2 linked regions of the Lytechinus pictus genome follow. The protein of the gene in region 2 purifies or fractionates together with the protein of the main gene of each other region. This does not show direct contact. Links are inferred from orthologs where the notes say so. Each region holds a gene or a part of one and is shown on either strand. Other genes may lie near its edges.

The links.
Region 1: the proteins of nucleolar complex protein 4 homolog (region 2) and KRR1 small subunit processome component homolog purify together in Homo sapiens (co-immunoprecipitation; 3 studies listed by BioGRID and IntAct, with this or other methods). This does not show direct contact. The link is inferred for Lytechinus pictus from reciprocal best matches to the Homo sapiens genes NOC4L and KRR1.

What each region holds. Positions count from the first base shown.
Region 1 is NC_087253.1:12,255,483-12,263,166, forward strand, and holds the start of KRR1 small subunit processome component homolog, read left to right. Parts: upstream 1-4,576; 5' UTR 4,577-4,597; intron 4,598-7,684. Other genes in the region: putative ammonium transporter 1, read right to left, coding at 676-790. UniProt on the Homo sapiens protein: Part of the small subunit (SSU) processome, first precursor of the small eukaryotic ribosomal subunit.
Region 2 is NC_087246.1:28,806,859-28,814,603, forward strand, and holds the start of nucleolar complex protein 4 homolog, read right to left. Parts: upstream 3,039-7,745; 5' UTR 2,935-3,038; coding exon 2,806-2,934; intron 2,566-2,805; coding exon 2,464-2,565; intron 1,650-2,463; coding exon 1,497-1,649; intron 696-1,496; coding exon 558-695; intron 1-557.

The DNA.
Region 1 (7,684 bases), on a different chromosome or scaffold from region 2:
ATTGCCATTTGTATACTTATAATCTCTCTGTGTTAAGTTATTTATCTAATTCGGTACAAATAAAATGAAAGTATAATACAATGAGATGATATACATAATAAAAACAAGTTGATAGAAAATTATACAAGCCTCAGTGAAAATCATGAATATGTACGTATTAATATGAAAGAATACTGTGTAATCTGGGGCCCGTAACCAAAAGCTTAGCAATGATCGTAGAACACTTTTCTACGATTGATTCCATTGACTACAAAACACAATCAATCGTGAAAATCAAGCGTACGATTAATCGCTAACTTTGTTTTTATACTTCGTAACTCTGCATACTGTATATGCAAACATACTTTTACCTTTGCTATGTTTCAATCGTTTATTAACTTGTCATATATATCACAAATTCAACTGTATATATATATATATATATATATATAAATTAAAAAAAGTGGGTGCTGCCCAGGATCAGGATGCTGGCTTGTTTAAAAATGTCTGACTGGCAAAAAAGAAGCTTATTGGATTGGTAAGGAAAATTTTGACAAGCAAAAATAAAAGTTTTCAGTCTAAATATATATATATATATATATATATATATATATATATATGTTTGTATACCTATCTATCTATTAACCTTTGTGTCTAAAACTATCTCACTCGGACACAAAAGTTTTATATACTCACAGAATATGATACAGGACATCACCAGAAGAAAAAAATGATCCATGTTTTCCCTGAGATAGCCAAAGTCATCTTGGAGTTGCATCAAAGCAAGTTCACTTCCATTAATTGGCGGCATTCTGTGGTAAAACAAACGTTCCTTCTGCCTTGGAGAAAGTAATCGAATCAACCTTAATCAGATACACCGCACATATAGGACGTGAGAGTTCTGGCGCCTCGTTCAGTTCTGGTGGAAGACTCCGAACGCCAGTGAATGGGTGTCCATTCTCCCGCAGAATGCGCACGCAATAAAAAGCTGCTCGCTCCAGGATCCAAGCGTGAACACAAGGTCACGTGCATCGATTGGGACCACGTGGTGGTATTTTAGTTCCGTGAATGGAAACTTTGATAATAGTCTACAGGGGCGGATCATGCAGCCTTCGCCAATAGGGGGGGGGGCCCGGATTTTTTTTCAGCCATATTTTCCCCGATCGGCCGCTCGATTTTTGGTTTCTTTGAAGGGGTAGCCCTAATAGTCACTTTTTAGCTTTATTCTTATTACTCAACATAAATACATGATCCTTATTTATATAATGCGAGCGCGAAGCGCGAGCTAATTTTTTTCTGGAAATCTTGTGTATTTTTCCCCTAAAATTTGAACATTCTGGGCAATGTTTGTTATCCTGAAAAAGATGTGTATGCAACTAAATAATTACTACGAACACGAAGCGCGAGCAGAAGTGAACTGATGGAAAAGGTACCTGTTAAAGACTGCATGCAGTTAGCCATGAAGTCGTTACCTATTTTAAAAATCAAATAATTCGAGCGCAAAGCGCAAGCTGAAATTTGTTGAAATTTTTACCCGAAGAATGGAAATTCTAAGCACTTTTTGTAACTTGAACATAATAGGTATATAACTAAACAATTAATGCGAGTGCGAATTAAGCGCGAGCGGAAAAACTAGAGATTTAGACCTAAAAAACGGGACACTCTATTCATGTTTTGTAAATAATGAAAAGAATGGGTAATAGGGGATCTTTCTACATTAATAATGAGAGCACAAAACGCGAGCAGAAAATTTATGATATTGTGATCTGAAACTGGAAATAATAATGTCCTTAGGACATTTCATCATATGAAAATGAAGACTGTCTTCTTATTCCTCTTGCTAAGCTCGAGATGAAACAAAAGGGACAATTCAATTATTAAATTAATATCTTATTCATTAATGCCTAATGAGGGGGCGAAATCTGATGATATGATGGCCTGAAAACTGGACATTTCAATCAGTTAATATGTTATTAACCATTAATGCGAGCGCAAATGGCGAGCCTAAATTTTTTATACACTGTCATGAAAAGGGGATTTTAAGTAGTTTGTTGTATAATCAATATTGAGACATACATAACTCGCCAATCAAAATGCGAGCGTGCAGCGCTAGCTGATACGTTTTAACAATCAGACCTGAAAAGGGATATTTTGTAAACTTTATGAAATACACGAAAATAATAGGTACCTGATAAATTTGCGAGCGCGCAGAAAATGCTAATATTCAGAGCATAAAACTGACATTTTTTCAGAGCACTTTAAAAAAATCAAAATAAATTACACAAAATAATGAAAGTTCGATTTCCGAGATGAAATATGTTTTATATATTGACTTCCAAACTTGATATTTAAACTCCATAATGAACAAGATATGTAAATGAGCTAAAAGGCAATGCGAGCGCGAAGCGCGGGCGAACATTTTGTTTTTAATGACATGAATTATTTTCTTAATTATTTTCCAAGTCTTCCCCTCATCTTAATTTATTCACTCGTCTTCTTCTTCTTATGTTTCCCCTTCTTTTTCTCCTCTCTCCTCTCTCCTCTTCTTTTTCTTTTTTTCTTTCTTTCCCCTTTTTTTTTCTTCTTTTTTTGCTCCGCCAAAAGGTGGGGGGGCCCGGGCCCCTCGGGTCCCCCTGGATCCGCCTATGGTCTACAGACTTCTCAAAATTTAGATGGTATAGGAACGGTTTTACTTTTTGATTTAAACCTGTCTCCCACTATTTACCGGGCAGAGGAAAGCGACTCCGGCATCATCACCCTCGCTGTGTGTGTTTTTTTTTTTTTTTTTTTTTTTTTTTTGGGGGAGGGGCAAAAGTGGATGTTTAGGAAGCGAGGGGTTTAAATATTTAAAAAAAGTTTGTGCTGCCAGACTAGTTCAGCACACTTGCTTGTGTTTCGGAGTTGGGGTTTCCCCCATTTTTTGGTTAGAGTTTTTTTCACGTGGTGTGCAGCTTCTCTTCTTCACTCTCGACCTTTATTCATCCATTCTGATGTTAAAATATCTTGAGGTTTGATCGATTTCAGGATTATCTTCTTTTTATTCTAGTCTCTGACCCAACAAAAGAAGATTTAGGTGCTGAAAATACATTATTTCAATGTAGGTCTATAAAAAGGGCACTAGAGAGTTGTGACGACCAATCAGGTTAGAGAAGGGGATGAAAGCAAAGGATCGGAGTAGGCAGACACAAAGGGAAGTCAGTGTAAGTAAGGCCAGTAAAAGACCCTAATAAAGCTGTGAGGGATCAAGACAATTGGGCAGGCAACATCAAACAGGATCTGGAACAAAACAGTGATGGGGGTGGAGGAAGAGATGAATAACAAGAGAATTAGTGAGAGGTGGGTCAAACAGGTTACAAAGAAAGGCATAATAAACTGGTGCATAAGAGTGGGGGGAAAGAGAAACAACTGATAATGTGCAAAAGACATATAAGTAAAAAGGATAAAGCAAACAAAAATCCAATTAATAAAGATTAACTTCATGACGTCATCCGCCTTTTCTTTTCATATACATTCCGGACCTTGTTCCGGACCTTGTACCGGATTTGACAGTCCCCTCGACAAAAATATTCATCTAAAGTTGCATGCCACGAATTAAAAGACCCTTTTTCTATCTATCTTTCTATCATCTATCTATCTATCTGTCCATCTTTCTTTCTGTCTTCTTCGTCTTCTTCTTCTTTCTTTCTTTTCTTTCTTTCTTTCCTTCCTTCTTTCTTTCTTTCTCGTCTCCTTCTTCCTTTTCTTCTTCTTCTTCATCATCTTCTTATTCCCCTTTCTTCTTGTTCTTCTTTTTCTTCTTCTTTTTCTTCCTCTTTCTTTCCTTTTCTTCTTTTTCTTTTTTTTCTTCTCCTTCTTTTTCTTCTTCTTCTCCTTTTTCTTTTTCTTCTTCTTCTTTCTTTCGTTCTTCTTCTTCTCATTCTTCCTTTCTTCTTCTTTTTCTTTTTCTTCTTATTCTTCTTCTTCCTTCTTTTTTCTTTCTCTTTCTTCTTTTCTTCTTTCTTTCCTTTTCTTCTTTTCCTTTTTGTTCTTTCTGTCTTTTTCTTCTTTTTCTTCTTCTTCTTCTTCTTCTTCTTCTTTCTTTCCTTTTCTTCTTTTCCTTTTTGTTCTTTCTGTCTTTTTGTTCTTCTTTCTTTCCTTTTCTTATTTGTCTTTTTCTTCTTCTTAATTTGAGCTATGTAAAAATTAAGTATTATTATCATCTTATCTTATCATAGTCACCTGCAGTGCAAGCGATAACGTGGGATCGGAATCGCCCTTGTCATGATATGCATGCTTGTGGGTATCTATGTTCAAGAGGATCGTTGGGGATCGTTTTTGTCTATTGCCTTTCTTTTGAGGGACTATGATTGTGGGGGTATTATGCTCTTCATTGCGAACTGAACCATGATGTTCAGTCTTGCCTTATAGCCTCAAAAAGATGTCCCAAACAACTCTTCCCAATCAATGTTTATTATGATGTATCACGCGTGTTTCGCGTGATCGACCATGCCTTTGGCCCATGGTAGCGCGTCAATAACATAGAAAATGTCGCTAAATTATTGTTTGGTTACAAACATAATCAACTCGACGGATTGTTATGGTTCTCTCTTAAAAAATCGAGAACTAAACAGGTGATAAAGTAAGCTGAACGTTGCCTCTATTTTGTGTTTTTGTTTCCTTTTGTTTGTAGTTTGTGTTTATTTTTTGTTTTGTGTTTGTTTGTTTGTTTATTTTGTGGGGAGATCATTATTTTTTTCATTTTTAAATGATTTCAATAATTAATGTCAAAGATTCAGGGGAAACTGTATGACCCTAAATGCCTTTTACAAAAAAAAAACACCACCATATGTATCAAAATTTACTCTATTTACTCGTTACTCTAGCTGTTAAACGATAATCAAAGTTTTCATTTTTATCTTATACCGGAAAGCATCATAAACGGCCTATAACATACATCATTGTTTCCCTCATCATATAAACACACATTTAATCGCTTTACCCCCATCAAAATGTTTACAACACCTCATAAATAAGAAGAAAAAAGAAGAGGAAGTCATTATTACAACTCACCAAAGCCGTTTTAAAACATTATTAAGGTAAGCAACCGGATTTCAGAACGCATATCAGACAACATTTTACGAAAGTCAAGTGATTATAAATGTTTTTAATGTAATAACATTTATATTCACTGGTAATTAATATTGGTTATGTACCAGCTCAGCTGGCATTATACCAGCAAAAAGCTGTCCTGTCGAGTTCCTTCGGAGTTACCATAATGAGAATCAGAAACATACTGTGCTTGTTTCATGCATTTCTTACTCCTTGAAATATTAAGATATTATGTTTATACATTTTGTTCAAAATATGTCCAATTTCATTTTACTGTGTTTCATTTCTATACTGAATAAGAAAATGCAAGTATTTTCTTTTATGTGTCACCATGGATCTAGTAGGATCCATGGTGTCTGTGAGTGTGTGAGAATTAATACGACTGTGTTGTGATGATGTAGGCCTATATGTGTTTTATAATTTGCATGAATACACTTTTTGACTGTGATATCATAGGAATACGAATAAACATAATGAACTCTCATTTGACTGTACAAAATGTGCATGCTATGATAACATGGTCCATCGAGCGCATTGTCCTTGACCTTGTGTATATTTCATATCAATTATTACTTGATGCACATGGCGCACAGAGGTGGGGGGCTTTGGGGCTAGAACCCCCCCCCCCCCCAAAAAAAAAAAAATAATAATAATAATAAATAAATAAATAAATAAATAAAGATAATAATAATAATACCACCAAGAAAAAAATGAGAAAAGGAATTTTATGTTAAAAATGTCAAAACTATTGCTCGCTCACTCGCAGCTTTCTTGAACTTTTCCCCGTGCGCCACTTCTCGGACCCTCTCAAAGTCTGCGGTTCATTGTGGCTGTTTGCCAACTTATTAAATCATGGGCTTATATATTTATAATATTTTCCTTTCAGTGTTCGATTATCATTATCTTTATCATCATTGATCATAATTGTATTGTTTCTGTTACATTCGACCTCAATTCCTGTTGCTTAATATTGATTTATTCATTAAATATCTAAATTTCAAAAAGTCAGCAAAAATCAAATTATATTCGAATCGTGATACTATTAATACGAAAATGTTTTTTTAACATGGTGAAAATATAAAACGTTTTCATGCAAGTATAATGCAAATGTAATAAAATGTTATAGTTATTATCATTATCATTATTCATGCAATGAAATGTACGGCGTTATTAGTCCAATATACAACACAGTACAGATAATAGATTCACTGGACTGCCAGGTAGGTTCAAATGAAATTAAATGAACCTTACTTTTGTCATTGGAGATACATTTATTAGACCCTATATGCATTGAATGCTTACAAAATGTGATGTCGAACAAGAATGTCTCTAAATCAGTGTTATTTCTTTGCTTTAATTACTTTGCATTTTTATTTGGGAGGGGGTAAAGGCTGCATATAATACATGTACAAAACGCATACAAAAACACACTGTCCAACGATTGCCCAAACCTTAGTTACGTCATTATTTTTTACTAGTTTACGCTTTAAAAAATGTGGATAAAATATAGTTACTATATGACAGTTCTGCTTGTGATAATGTTAAGAAAACATTCATATAAAATGTGCCGTGCATCGATCAAAATTTTGGAAGTAAAATGTATTCTCGGCTACTACATGGAATTTATTTGTATCGGCTTTGAAGTGTACAGTCAAACACTACGTTGAAGTACAAGATTTAGCTTGAAATAATAAACATTTACTTATACAAAATGGGTTGGGGTTGAAAATACATTTCTAAACATTCAGAATATTCATCAAATTATATCTTAACTTTACTTATTCAACCTTTCGCAGTCATCCACTCAGAATGTCACAGACGGGAAAGGTATGCATAACTATGCCTGTTGCTACTGCAGCAGCAGCTTCTCTACTTTGTTCTGACCTCGCATATAAAAAATAAATAATCACTATTTGGAGCATTATTTATCAAGCGTCAAGCCACTTGAGGCCAAGTCACACATCATTGAATCATTGTGAGACACAATAAACATGTACCTTCAGAATGAATTTTTCCAACTTATTTGCTATTGTAGTTCCCTTTCATACCCCAGATCATTTTTCGATCGTCATGTTATTATGTGTAGTCTAAATCACTCACGTAGTTGCTTTTGAAACAGTATATTTGATGTGAATTGTTTGCAGTTATTGAAGTAAAATCACATAGGGGCCCACCGAGGGTGATTTGTGACGACACTACCGAATGTGCATTGTTATCATTTTTGGACAAACATGATTATACCAGCCGCATCTAATGGAGTTCAAGGATGGCTTAACGTAATGAGCAGAAAAAAAATAATGAAAACAGAATATAAGGAAGCTGAACGTGGTTATAGGGCCTATTATTATGGGACAAAATCCTGGGGCCAAAAGATGAACAAAAAATACTAGAATGTTTGGGATATTTGTTAACTTTATGACTTGACTTTGAATCTGAGCTGCAAGATCCCATTTGCCTTCTGTGTTTGTAAGATATTGATGAAACCTGAAAAGTTGCACCCGAAATATTTATCTATTTCAAAAGAAAGTGAAATATAATAAATGTAAAGCGACGGCCGGGATACACCATCTCAATTTTGTTTCGTAATACATGATTAATCTCCCATACAGGCTGCAGT
Region 2 (7,745 bases):
GGGTGAGAATTAACAATTAAAGAAATATAATAAAAATTAATGTTGAATCCATAGCACAGGAATTATAAGGATAAATCAGTAGGACAAGCAGTCAGATCCTAGTCTGCAGGCACAGACCCTGATTGAAACTTTGATCTAACAAGTGGGTCTCCATGCAAAAAATTACAAAACTTGCTGTTTCCATTCTGAGTGAGAGGGCCTTTAGTACACAAGGCATTAATAGGCTGCACATTCAGACCCTTAACTCGAGTGAAGGGATTGCACAGCAGACTAGTCAGATCCAAGGAAAATTTTGGTTTTTAAATGAGGTTTGTAAACACTAATGAGACAAACACAGTGATACATGTAAATGCAGGTGTTCAGTACACTGTTGTTAACCAATCTATCAGGATTTACATGAAGTGGGGATGTTACAATAAGGAGTTACACGACCCAGGCCTCTCTTCATTATACCCTACTTGCTTCCTTTTTCCCCTTTGCTTTTTTAAGTCTCATCTCTTTTTCTTTTCTTTTTTCCACTACTTGAAAAATCATAGGGAGGTCAGATAATTTCTTACTTTAAGAATAGTTATCCTTGCTCCTTCGTCTAGATCAGGACTCATTCCAAGGAAGTTGTTGATACTCTCCTCATCAGTTGGCATGGTAACGGTATGCAGGAGGTTCACAGTGTTGTTACACAAGGTTGTCATCTCCATCTGATATGCATGTTTTGATCATGAGATAGAAACATATAAGAGGAAAAATTATATTATCAATTATTTATTATCGTAACAAGTACATGCATTGATTCTTTAAATGATCATCATATACAGAAACCCTTTAAACAAATTAATATGTGCCCTTTTATCCTTTTTAGTACATTTTTTTTCAGATCAATCATGTTTTCTTTTGAATCAAACACCTGTTTAAAACAGTGTGATTTAAACAAGAAAAGACTAATACATGACTAATAATAATACTAGTACATGTGTGTACTGAATAAGACATTACATGACCAATTCTGGCAAGACAAGCCATAATTCATCATTCTAATAGGCATCTAAAATTCCCTAAAATCAATATTTCAGAGTTAAGAAAGGGACTACTCCCCATTTTCTTGGTAGTTCCCAACTAAATCAAATTGTTCAGATGTGAAATGTGAAATTTCAGCAAGTTCAAGGGAAGGTTTGTTTGTTTGGTTTTTTTTTTTGCTTGTTCCCTATTTCTGCCAGTTCAACGCAACTATCCCCCCCCCCCCCTAAAAAACATGAAAATAAATTACTTGACAAAATGATAGGACAATTTGCTCAATGGAGGAATAAACGATAGACGAAATGCTAATTTACGACGATGCTAGGTAATATGGACAAATGATGTTAGACGATATGTAAAAGTTATTGAGAAGCAGATTTAGCACAAGAAAGGATCATGGGTCATGCATGAAATTGTGCAAAACATATGAATAGCCTTGTGAAATACCACACTTCACTGAGAAAGGGAAAGAACATTGTACACACCTGGTTTAATTTTTCTTTTGACTGCTTTGATATATGATGCTGAATGTGCTGTAATACATGGTACCTGACGTCATCAAACTCCATGTACTCCCTAAATCGACCAATCAACTCACTGGAAACTACACTCTTGGAAAGAAGCTGAGGTACCAATAGCTGTTAAAGACAACATTTCTTTTAAATATGATATCTGAATTCTCGTTAATACTATAAATCAGAGATTAAAATTTAAGACAAATAGTTAAAGTGCATACAAAATTAAATCAAGCAAAGTCAGAAATGTATCATTGGAGAAAGATTTGTTTATGTGTAATTATTCGATGTTAAAGAAAACCAATACAATAGCAATGACTCTGCACAGGTAAATAACCCACTAAATACTTGATTCACCAACGCACTTGCTGATAATTCATAAATAATTCCATGTGTGAACATCACATTGTTATAATCATATGAAAGAATGTTTTATTACAAATCATTTCATATCATGTTTGTGTGGAATCACTTCACGCTTGAAGGGATATAAAACATTATTTATGCTAAGAGAGCAAAATTTGACTTGCACCAACTAATCCTAGCTAAAAGCTGTCATTTCATTCGGAAATAAAAGAGGTACATTAATTACTCACTTAAATGAAGACATTATTCATTGTAATCTGTATGTGACAACATCATTACTGTAGAAGCCAATTTGATTATGAAAAGGCAGCTAAATTTGGCACAACTCAAAGTTTGCATTGTCTAGTATGTCTCCCCAATGTATTTGTTCAAGAATCAACACATTATACTAACGATTAAGGGGTAAAACATTTGTTCAAATGATGTGGGCCTACATGTATACTTCTTTGCAAGCAATTTTCCGATTAACTTTATTACACGCTCTGTACGTATATTTGAAATATCAAATATACTTATTATATGATTCAGCTTAGATGTTAATGATGTAATATAAAATCAGAAATGAACTCACTGCGATAATGTGAATGGGAAAGAAGAAGTTTGAGCCTTCCTTCTTAAAAGGATGTTTCGATTCTTCTGCTAAAAACTTCATCAGCGTCCTCATAGCAAGTTCCTTGAATACAGAAATAAAAAAACAAATCCCTGAGAAACCTTAACAATTATTAAATTATGACAATATGATTAAAACATCAACTACGCAAGCTACACAGCTAGAGTGGATAAATAATAAAGAGGGAAAGTGATGTTCAATTTCATAAAACCTAATTAAACTTTTCTGTTGTATTACTTTGTAAAAACAACAAATATGTTATGAGTTTGGATAAGCATGCCTGGATAAAAAAGACACACCTACCTGCAAGACGGGTACTGTCACAAAGGTCCCGACCACGTTGCAGAGACACCTGATGGCATTGTTGTACCTGGCCTGTAACCAAAGCCGATACTTCTCCTTGGCACCTGATATAGCAGAGGTACAGACCATTCCATCTTCAGCCAAAACATGACAGAAGATCTTCGATGTAGCCTGGATGGCAGCACTGACAATGTCCTTTTCATCATGCTAAAGAATTGAACATGGAAGAAAGAAAGGCATTTCATCATCAGCACAAATGCACACAAAAATTTGCTACATGTACGTAAGTACCACATGGCGGCACAGACAGGCAAATTTACAAGAATTTTGAAAGTAAAATGAGATCATTGTGGTCCTTTTGTCTACATTTGGGGATGGAAATATTTAAGTAAGTTAGTTCACTTGATCCCTCATGTAATATGTATGTTTTGAGTGTACAGCTTACAGATCAAAGTTTATTATTCTCCAGAATTGAGGAATATAATCTCCCAAAACATATGTCAATATTCTGATTCATTTCTAGATTTATATGAATGTTAGAGGAGTAGTGGAGTACTATTACCCTTGGTACCTTCCCACAAAATGGCAACTAACCCGTTGATATCCATCTACCCCTCATTTCCCTCCTCTTCAAAACCAGTTTTAGACAGTTTGCTAGTGATAATAAATGAATATTTACAATGAATATGAAACTCCAAAATCAAAAGGATCAAATTAGGAACCACTATAAAACTGTCTTATTAAGTCCTCGTGGAGTGAGTCCCATTCCTGTGTTAAGACCATCCAATATCCTAAACGTGTCATATATAGGAGGGGACTCAGATAACGAGGAGTACTCTTAAAGGTTGTGATCTAAAGTCTTCTTCTTCTAGTTCTATGGGAAACTGAATAGATGAAAGAGGACTCGCACCATGAGGAGTAAGACAGCTTTATAGAGATTTAGTGACAGTGTTTTTAGTGAAATTTTTATTTTATAGTTTATAATTTGTGCATTACCACATTGCACACGGTCACATACATTAAAAAGTAATTAAGAATATATATTAATCTTATTAATATCTGATTACACCAAAAGAAAAAGCAATCTAAAATTACTTGGTTTCAGTGATTTCCTTAGGATACAGTGACAGTCTACATGTATATCAACATTGCCATTGGCAAATGTTTTTGTTACTTTACGTCCGTTCCTAGACTGATACATCCACTGTTTCAGAGCAGTTTTTATAAAACTTTTTTTTTGGTCCTCCTCCTTCACAGATGGATGTCTGCCATAGGCTTCGTAATGGTGGAGGTTCGCACAATGCTCAACTACAGCGTCTATGGAGAAAAGGGTGCACCCTGCTTGATTACTGTGTACATGTTATTCCTCCTTTTAATGGCCATAAAGGAGCGCAATAATAAAGAGAAAATAATAGTGAAGAAAATCAGTTTACCATTTTCCAGCACGCATATTGCGATATGCGTGCTGTAGCCTTGGCAAGAGACATAGAAATCAAGATGGCGATGAAAACACGGTGGCAAGTTTTCCCTGTCTTTTCATAACATTTTTATCGTTTTTTTAATGAATTCTTGTTTAAAAATGACATCAATATCGTAGAAATGTTGGAAATGAAGTTGTATCCCATTTACATGATATAGGGCTAGATCTTCTAGAAGTAGAAATCTCGGGGGCGAAAGTTTCAGGGTTTTTTGCGGTACACGCACATGAATGGGATACAATCCCTGGCTCCATGGTCGAGTAAGCATACGTTAGAAAATGATTTTTACTCTCTAGGAGTAGGAGCCTCCTGGCTAGGGCTGCCTTGGCTTGACTCGAAGGGTTAGACATGTACATGTACTGATGTAGATTAGACCCACTCACACGTATTGCGTGGTTAGTATACTAGTATACTGCCTCGGGCGAAGTTCGTGCAGGCTCCACTCCACCTCACTACCGCTACACTACGCTACACCTACCCGAACTTCGGGACGGTGAACTCGATCGGATATTCCGAGTGACAAAGGTGGGATAAAAATCTGGTTTATTGTAAAAATTAAAGAAACGAGAAAGAAAAATAGCTTAATTTCTTACTCTTCACCCTTATTTCACTCCGTGTCCATCCTCCGGTTATCCTCAAAATTGGCGATTTTGGGCCAGTATCAAATTCCTCACACGTATTATTCACAGCCGATTTCAAAACATTGTATACGCGTATCGAGTGGACCTTCCTAATAGCAACACTGATGTGTGTTGCTGCCCTCTACGTTCGTTGCACATATTCATTTGAAGTACGAGGATATGTATTTCGTTTGTTAACGCCCACATGAGTTGCTATTATTATTATAATTGGAATATCGTTGGATAAATTGTTTAATTTTATGCTTTATAAAGAGTTATCTTTACAACGTCGTCAGCCTAATTACCGCGAGTGGTTGATTTATGAAATGAGTTGGAATGTGCGGAATTACGAGATGCCCCAAAGCCGATGGTACGTGATCAAGTTTAATTATAGTATTCACTTTCTGGGTTGAGCCAATCATTGTGCTTGAAAACGGGTTTCCCGGAATTCCCGCCCTGTGCCACGTGCCCTGTTAATCTGTTGTTTGAGTGCGAATCAGCTGATTTCGTGACCTCAAATATTCTTCATGTTGTTTATGCTGGGTGGGGGGCTATAAAATTAAGATCGTTCTCTTTTTTTTTTCTTTTATTATCTGTTCGTGAATTTCTGTAACTTTAAAACTGCACCTATGGTTATATTGTGTTGCAATATATTGAATCACGTACCTCTTCCCACTCATGGTGCAAGAAAAGATTTTTTAAATTTAAAATCGCCAAAATATACATGTAAAGAAAGATTATTCAGCCGTTATCATCAGTAGTGTAGATACGTCTATAATCGCATACATTCGTAATTCCGAAGCTTCGTTATTCCGAAGGTTTGGATATTCCAAAGGTTCGTATTTCCGAAGGTTCATATTTACGAAGGTTCGTAATTCCAAAGGATCGTTAGTCCGAAAACGAAATGAGGTTCGTAATTCCGAAGGTTCGTTAATCCGAAAACGAAGTGAGGTTCGTAATTCTGAAGGTTCGTTAATCCGAAAAAGAAATGAGGTTCGTAATTCCGAAGGTTCGTTAGTCCAAAAACTAAATGATTAACGAACCTTATTTCGTTTTCGGACTTACGAACCTTCGGAACAAGGAACCTTATTTTGTTTTCGGATTAACGAACCTTCGGAACAACGGACCTTATTTTGTTTTCGGATTAACGAACCTTCGGAACATCGAACCTTATTTCGTTTTCAGATTATCGAACCTTCGGAATAACGCCACAAATGTTCAGATTAACGAACCCTTTTACGTTTTCGGATAAACGAACATCGGGGTATAGGCAATTTACGTGTTTCGGAATTACGAACCTTCGGAATAAGGAACCTTCGGAATTATGAAGTGTAACCATCTAAAATTATAAATATGTATTCGTTTCGAATGGTGACTTCTTCACCAATCCCACATACACGATCTCAAAATCTCCTTTTCACTGTCCACGACCCCTCCCCTTTCGCTCTCTCCCTTGGACCATCCTACAACCCCCCTCTTCCTCTCTCTTTCACACACGCTGTATTTGTAGGCCTACATAGTGTATGATGTAAAAATAGAAGTCTGCTTTCCTGTCAATTAAGCTATACTTTCAAAACATATTTTAAATCGCAATTCATTTTATAATAAGAACAAATCGTAATATTAATAAAGTCATTATGAATGACTAAAAATATTTCTCACGCTCGTGGTGAGCACATTCATTATTTTATAGGTGAGTAAATAACAATACAAATGAACATAGCAATAACTGATAGTGAGAAACGAATCTTGATTGGATCTTTATAGGTTCCTTGTTTGTATGTGTGTGTGTGTGTGTGTGTGTCCCTGTGTGGGTGTGTGTATGGGTGTTTCTAGGTTTTGTATGTATGTAAGTATTTCTTAATCGATTACTTGTTAATTTAATTTGTTGACATTGTTTTCATAATGTATTTTATATATTTTATGTAAAGGGCCAATATTCACAAGCTTCGGCTTCATTTTGGTCCTAACCATCTTATGATATATGTTTTGTATTTGATTTTATACAACACTATTGTTTATTGGTTTTAATAAATGAACTTGAACGTATTATTAGTATAAACATCATCAACAGAAGTCTTATGAGAGTTATAGTTTCATTGAGTATCGTATCTGAAAAAAAACCAACAAAAAACATGCAAATTATATAAGTTGGGAACCCCGTCTCATGATACCGATGCCCATTATTTGGAAGCCTCAGAACTTCCGAGGCTTTGATAAAGTCAGAACAATATTTGGATTTTGATAAGGGCATGGCGCGGCGCAAGGGGCTACCCATGCAGCGCATGCAGTAGTCAGTCATTGACATAAGAAGCAACACGTATTCACAAAATAAATTGCACTTTCTAAGGATGTAGCGATCTAGACATTGGAAAGTATGGAGTAAAAGTAGCGATATCATCGATGTGAATAAATCTATAAACTGTAAGAATAAAATGAGATTGACTTTGAATCCTTTCCTTTAGTTTGTGTTTGACCTTTTTGACATTTACAATCGCAATTCGCGCAACCGTTACGGCTGTGTGGCCGGCCGGAGAAGCATTAAATAGACATAAAATGTGTTGCATTTAGCAGCAATCTAAGCTCGTCGATATTGATATTTTCGCTGCGCGGGAGGGGGGACACCCCCCTCCAGAACCCTCCCCAGCCCCCGCCGCTACGTGGCTTGCGTCGCTTCGCGCCGTCAGCATGGTCAGAATCAATGAACCTGGCGAGAACGTTGTTTGGAATATGGGTGTTTTGGCATTATCGTGGTTTATGTCACCAGTCCATTCATTGCCGTTTATTTCGTCAGCGGTGGTGACATCTTTCCTCTCCCATTGACTTTGTACACAACGATCGC